Linked DNA regions of Danio rerio. Each later gene encodes a partner of the first gene's protein in a complex. Links are inferred from orthologs where the notes say so. Each region holds a gene or a part of one and is shown in the gene's direction. Other genes may lie near its edges.

Region 1 (3,927 bases):
AAATGTTAAATATGAGGCATCTTAAATTTGCTAGGGTTTTTAACAACAAACAATAGAAAGGTCATGATGAGCAAACGAGAATATGAACACTATTTTGTATTTGCCTACTATTTGTTATAATTTATTAAAGAATAACAATAGAAATTCTGACTCAAGCAGGCTGATTGTAATCCAGGTAATGAGTAGCCTACCACCATTTACTGTCAGTTTTATCTAGCTATGGATTTTTGCGCCATCTACTGTCCATTGACTGTGACACATCTTTGTTTTGCAGGAGAGACATGCATTTACAATAAAACAAGTAAAATAAATGTATAATTTCTATATAAAAATAATTATGAATCGCAATTTATGTATCCAAGATAAGTTAATAGAGAATTCATGATAGAGTCAATACTTTATTATTATTATTATTATTATTATTATTACTTATCTGTCAAGCCTAAAAATAATTTAGTTACATTCCAGACAATATAAATGTTTAACAACATAATATAGAGCAAATACATAAAATAATTATATGGGATAATATAATTCCTACAATGTGGCAATGTGCAAATTGGGGGCTATGCCTTGTTATCTAAACTTGAAGTATGAATTATTATTATTATTATTATTATTATTTTGATTCACATATATTTATACAATATAATTACATTTCATTAATAAAATAGATGTTTAAAATTATACGTGTAAATGAGTTGAGTTATACTGTAAACGAAGAAAAAAATAAACATCAAAATTGTAATTAACATGCACATATACATATTACACAATATAGTAAAATGAAATAGCCCTACCAAAGGGTTCTAGATCAGTGGGCCAGGGCCTACTGTAAAATATTACGCTGAACAAACGAGTGACTTTTATTATGAAAAACGTATAGTCGGCCATGTTGAAAGCGAGTATGCTCACGCTGAAAACAGAAAACAAAAATTGTCTCATGTTTTGAAGTTCAGCTTACGTTTACACCATGGACGAACAAATTACTGTAAGTATCTCTAGTGTGTATTTTGTCAGTCTGCAGTGTTATGTGGAAATTCGTTATACTCTGTGAGCTGCGGTGCTGTTTCTCCAGGGTGGATATAGTGAGCCATGCGGACAGTGCGCTGCTGTGGACTGGGGAGTGTCAGACGAGGGTCAGTTCTTCTGTAAGAGCTGCCACAATGTCATCGAGGTGGGTTAATAGATATTTTAATATATAGTACATTAATACATAGACAGAAATCACTTTTTTTTTACATATGTATAGTTCTTCCAATTCCTATGAGCTTGTTTAAATGCATGGACAGGTATGAAGTTGTCGTATGTATTATAATTTACTCACTTTTCTGCTGATTTTCATTATGCTGCTGACTTTAATAGTTATATTAACATTTAATTTAATGATTGGTTAATTAATTTAAAAAAAATCATTAAACAAAAAGCTAATTAAAGCAGGAGTTGGGTAAATAAATATTACTAATTATTATCATACTCCCCCGGTTGATTGATTTATTTTTATTGAAAGCAGACATAAATGAAAACTTTTCATTTTATGAAAACTAAAATAGTATTTTAGTCACGTAAAGCTTATGCAGGTTTTATGAATGGGTTACATGCACAGAAGTGTTGTTCAGCCGAATCTTCAGGCAAACGATTGATGTGACTAATTTCAATTGCATAAGGGACCTTTTACAGCATCGATAATGTAGATTTTTATTTAGTTTAACAAAAAAAAAAAAACATCAGTAAATAGCGCTTTTCTGCCCAGCCTGCTCTACTGAGCTGAAGTTAGTTTTATAATCACATTGGTTCATTGTTTAACACTAGCCCCTTTCACACATACAGACCTTTCCGGAAAATTGGCGGCAATTTTCCGGCAGGTCCTTTTTGAAAATACCGGTAAATTCGTTCTGGCTATTTTCCGGAAAGAGAAGTTGTAACATTACCGGCAATTTGCCGGAATGCTGCGCTGTGTGAATGCAGAAGGAAGATTCCCGTAATAAGCGCGTGCACGTCTAGAACGTGCTGACGTGAGACGTCTGCTTTAGCCAATCACAACAGTCAGACGCATTTACGTCCGCGGGGTTTGTGAGAATAAAAGCCTTTGAATATTTTTCCAGACACATTTAGCTGCTAGAAGTTAGTCAGATCACGTTTATATGTTCTTCTTAATGCCAACTGTGTAAATAATCATCGATGAGATGCTTATGATAAGCCGTTGTTTGTTTACCTTCAAGCTTTGCGTGTGCCTGTGAAACAGCCTGTGAGCGCCTGCACACGCAGATATTATGAACATCTCGACATGCGAAAGTGATCCTGCGAAAGTTGTTCACAATATTGATCATCCACAGAGTTTGTAATTTAGTCAAATGTTTACAAACACAAGCGCAGCCGTTTAAAGCTCATTTGTGGTGAATGATGTCAGAATTTACCGGTATTTTGGAATGGATGTGTGAATGCTCTTTTCCGGAAAATTTCCGTAACGTCCTTACCTGTGTGAACAGGGCTTTTTTGAATATACCGGTAAAGTCGTTCCGGAAATTTTCCGGATATTTACCGGTATCACTGTGTGAAAGGGGCTACTCACAATCTGTGAAGTGCTCCTATATTGTTTACCATGCTACGCTGAATATTCAGCCTGAAATAGCATGTAAATATGGCTTAGTAATAAGTGTAATTCCTGCATGCCACCGGCCAACCACTAAGCATACAGTAGTCGCTGTAGGACAAATCGTGTGAAAGAGTGAGACCAGCGATCCTTGCATGCATTAAATATTGTACATCATGACAAGTTTTGCTTGCGACAGAACTGAAAATGTGCTAGATATATAATACAGTATGTCGTTCGGAATTGTAGTTTTATAAGTACTATAAAGTTTTCTAACTGGCAAATGACACAATCTAGTGATTGTCTGCTGTCAACTTTAAGCTGCGCGTTCATGATTTCAGGAGTCCTGGCTTGGGATGGCTGGGGTTTTCTAAGATATGCTAACGGATAGCATTTTGGCAGATTACCTCCTGCACCTTTAAACTGACAAACAAAACAAAAACGTTTGGTGTAAGACTTGCTGAAGAAGCTTTATGGCTCATTTCAGGAGAACAAAACCAATTTTTAAAAAAAAACAGCATCTGAAAACGTGTAATATAATAGAAATCTGCAGGCACAAATTTATAGTGCTATAAAAGAAACACTTTATGATGACTGTTTTGTCTACAGTGTCTCATCTTAATGGCATGATGTTATAAGCTTTACACACCTAAAGCATGTTGCTTGTTTTAACATCTTCTAGAAAATAAGGGAGGTAGAGGATGTTACCAGCCTTCATCATAAGCATGGCAGGATCTCAATAGTCAGGAAACCCAAGAAGAAAAAACATGGTCAGTCCAGCTTTACTTACTGTTTTTATTCTTGTTGATCATTTCTAACAGGATATTGTGCTAAAATGAAAAATTGAACCTGACGCCTCTTATGTCTGTTTTCAGATTCTGAAAGGGAGTGGTTGGTCTGTGAGGGATTTCAGTTCATCCTCAAACACCAGGCCAAGGCTTTGGTCAGTCTAGGTGTTTGTATGAAGTTTGAGGTTAGTGCTCTTCGTTTACTGAATCAAATTAAGTAGTTTGCACAGTATTCTTATGTTGTTAGATTTTATATTTGGTACATTGATCTCTTATGTAATTATGTAATTTTCTGTATAATTTGTTTTACTTTATTGTAGAGGTTTTTTTTTTTGTGGGTGCAAGTGTAAAATATAATGTATAAACAGTGCGACTTGTAGGATCATTTTACAGGTTAAACCCAAAAAGGACTCTCCTGTCATGTCACTTGCAATCGACACTAATAAACAGGAAGTAAGCCTCTTACAGACTATGTTTTTAATGAATGATATAGCTGAATAATTAATGATAAAAATGTGATTTGAAGATTTAAAAAGAGGGTGGAGG
Region 2 (3,523 bases), on another chromosome or scaffold:
TTAAAGTTGTTTAAATGACTTTTCTAGTGTCATGACTGATGGGCAACTTTTTTTAATCAATGAGGAATTGTCTTAAGTCACTGCTACTTTAAATCCACAGAAAGGTCAACACACAGACAATAGTAAATGAAACTCGGTGGTGTTTGTTGTTGTTTTGCAGAGCTGATCAGTTTGATTATGTAATGTACGGAAAGGTTTATAGGATTGAAGGAGATGAAACGTCTACAGAAGCCGCCACACGACTGTGAGTGTTGATTTATTTGCCTATTTACTACTTTTTTACTGGGATTTTACAATATAGGTGAATGCATGAAATGTGAGATTTTTATCAAGGTATTTTAAATAAAGTAAACAATTAATATGCATTGTTATTATATATCAGCTGTGGGGGAAATTAATTTGAAAGAGAATTCTGAATCGATAAGGAGATATGCAAAATGCATCTTTATTCAGTTTTGAGCTTATTTGCTCTTATAAACTAGCCCAGAGCGCCACCTGCTAGTCTAGAATAACAACTGCTTTTAAAAACTAGCCTGGAACACCTTCTGTTGCTAAAAAAACTAGCCCAAAGAGCCATCTGCTTTTAAAAAACTAGCCGAGAGCTACATTTGCTGTTTAAAACTATCAGAGAGTGATACTGCTGCTTTTAAAATCTAGCCTACAGCGACATCTGCTGTTAAAACTAACATAGAGTGCCGACTGCTGCTGTTAAAATCTAGTATAGAGCGACATCTGCTGTTAAAACTTTCGTAGAGTGCTGACTGCTGCTGTTAAAATCTAACCTAGTGCGACATCTGCTGTTAAAACTAGAGTAGTGCACCATCTGTTGTTAAATTAGTGTAGAGTGCCACCTGCTGGTCAGAACAAGCCTAGAGTGCCATCTGCTGTTAAAAACTATCAGAGAGTGCCGACTGCTGCTGTTAAAATCTAGTATAGAGCGACATCTGCTGTTAAAACTATCAGAGTGCCGACTGCTGCTGTTAAAATCTAGTATAGAGCGACATCTGCTGTTAAAACTTTAGTAGAGTGCTGACTGCTGCTGTTAAAATCTAGCCTAGTGCGACATCTGCTGTTAAAACTAGTGTAGTGCGCCATCTGTTGTTAAATTAGTGTAGAGTGTTACCTGCTGGTCAGAACAAGCCTAGAGTGCCATCTGCTGTTAAAAACTAGTCTAGAAATGCCTTATGTTGTTAAAAAGAACTAGCCTAAAGAGCTAACTGCTGTTAAAAACTAGCTTAGAGCAACATCTGCTGTTAAAACTAGAATAGAGCGCCATCTGCTGTAAAAAAACTAATCTAGAACGCCTTATGTTGCTAAAAAGAACTAGCCTAAAGAGCTAACTTCTGTTAAAAACTAACCGAGCGACATCTGCTGTTCAAAACTATCATAGAGTGCCAACTGCTGCTGTTAAAAACTAGCCTAGAGCGACATCTGTTGTTAAATCTAGCCTAGAGCGCCATCTGCTGTTAAAATCTAGTCTAGAATGCCTTCTGTTGCTAAAAAGAACTAGCCTAAAGAGCTAACTGCTGTTAAAAACTAGCCTAGAGCGACATCTGCTGTTAAATACTAGTCTAGAACGCCTCTTGTTGCAAAAAAAAAACTAGCCTAAAGAGCTAACTGCTGTTTATACTAGCCTAGACCGACATCTGCTGTTAAATACTAGTCTAGAACGCCTCTTGTTGCAAAAAAAAACTAGCCTAAAGAGCTAACTGCTGTTAAAACTAGCCTAGACCGACATCTGCTGTTAAAAACTAGCCTAGAGCCACATCTGCTGTTAAAAACTAGTCTAGAACGCCTCTTGTTGCTAAAAAAAAACTAGCCTAAAGAGCTAACTGCAGTTAAAAACTAGCCTAGAGCAACATCTGTTGTTAAAATCCCAGTATCAATGGAAAATCTATTTTTGTAATGCATTTCCTAACTAAAACTAGTCTAGAACGCCTTATGTTATTAAAAAGAACTAGCCTAAAGAGCTAACTGCTGTTAAAAACTAGCCTAGAGCGACATCTGTTGTCAAATTAGTGTAGAGCACCACCTGCTGCTCAAAATTATCCTAGAGTGCCATCTGCTGTTAAAAACTACTCTAGAACGCCTCTTGTTGCTAAAAAAATTAGCCTAAAAAGCTAACTGCTGTTAAAAACTAGCCTAGAGCGACATCTGTTGTCAAATTAGTGTAGAGCACCACCTGCTGCTCAAAATTATCCTAGAGTGCCATCTGCTGTTAAAAACTACTCTAGAACGCCTCTTGTTGCTAAAAAAATTAGCCTAAAGAGCTAACTGCTGTTAAAAACTAGCCTAGAGCGACATCTGTTGTCAAATTAGTGTAGAGCACCACCTGCTGCTCAAAATTAGCCTAGAGTGCCATCTGCTGTTAAAAACTAGTCTAGAACGCCTCTTGTTGCTAAAAAAATTAGCCTTAAGAGCTAACTGCTGTTAAAAACTAGCCTAGAGCGACATCTGCTGTTAAAATGCCAGTATAAGTGCAGAATCTATTTCTGTAATGCATTTCCTCCTCCACTCTATTGTTGCTGTAGTAGTGAGTGAATGTTTATATGTGTGTGTGTGCACAGATCAGCGTACGTGTCGTATGGAGGCCTGCTGATGCGTCTTCAAGGCGATGCTAATAATCTGCACGGGTTTGAAGTGGACAGCAGAGTTTATCTGCTGATGAAGAAACTGGCGTTCTGAAGCCTTCATCAAGGACTTTTTTTAATAACTCTGCTCCCCTTTCATGACAAACTGTGGCCCTTGGGTAATCTCAAAATATCTGCTCATCATTTGAAAGCAAATGCCCTGATAAAGGTTTTGCATCTCATTATTTGCATCCGAGTCATGTGACATTCTGCCTGTTTTTTTTTTTTTATCAGTAAAAATCAGATTGTGTTAACTAGTAATGGGCTTTTTGGATTTGTTATTTCTTTTCTTTTGCTGGAATAAAATGTTTTAAGACTGCTCATGTGGACAAAAACACAAGTCCTCCTGGTTACTGTCAATTTAAGCAACAGCAAAAAATGTAGTTTCAGCACAAATGGAGATCCAGTTGAATCAAGCTGAAGTGTGTGTGTGAGCGAGAAAGAGAGAAAGAGTGGGTGTCTGTGTGTGAGAGCTGTAATAAATATCATGAGACAGACGTCAGAGAGACTGCTTTACTGTCAGAGAATGAATAAACACTGCTGGATTTCTGTTTATCCTGCTGCAAATAATATATATATATATATATATATATATATATATATATATATATATATATATATATATATATATATATATATATATATATAGACACACACACACACACACAGTCGAAGTCAGAATTATTAGCCCCCCTTTGAATTTTCTTTACTTTTTGTAAACATTTCCTAAATGATGTTTAACAGAGCAAGGAAATTTTCATAGTATGTCTGATAATATTTTTTTCTTCTGGAGAAGGTCTTATTTGTTTTATTTATTTTTTTATTAAAACTGTAATAAAAGCAGTTTTTAATTTTTTAAAACCCATTTTAAGGTCAAAATTATAAACCTATTT

Evidence for each region.
Region 2: taf1b (region 1) and polr2h share a complex: the UniProt entries of both Homo sapiens proteins name them as parts of the pol I pre-initiation complex. The link is inferred for Danio rerio from reciprocal best matches to the Homo sapiens genes TAF1B and POLR2H.

Annotation. Positions count from the first base shown.
Region 1 is NC_133195.1:32,286,021-32,289,947, reverse strand, and holds the start of taf1b (TATA box-binding protein-associated factor RNA polymerase I subunit B), read left to right. Parts: upstream 1-880; 5' UTR 881-973; coding exon of another isoform or gene 974-991; intron 992-1,078; coding exon of another isoform or gene 1,079-1,177; intron 1,178-3,275; coding exon of another isoform or gene 3,276-3,363; intron 3,364-3,468; coding exon of another isoform or gene 3,469-3,566; 5' UTR 3,567-3,801; coding exon 3,802-3,834; intron 3,835-3,927. UniProt on the Homo sapiens protein: Component of RNA polymerase I core factor complex that acts as a GTF2B/TFIIB-like factor and plays a key role in multiple steps during transcription initiation such as pre-initiation complex (PIC) assembly and postpolymerase recruitment events in polymerase I (Pol I) transcription.
Region 2 is NC_133197.1:38,618,377-38,621,899, reverse strand, and holds the end of polr2h (DNA-directed RNA polymerases I, II, and III subunit RPABC3), read left to right. Parts: intron 1-160; coding exon 161-244; intron 245-2,567; coding exon 2,568-2,685; 3' UTR 2,686-2,965; downstream 2,966-3,523. UniProt on the Homo sapiens protein: DNA-dependent RNA polymerase catalyzes the transcription of DNA into RNA using the four ribonucleoside triphosphates as substrates.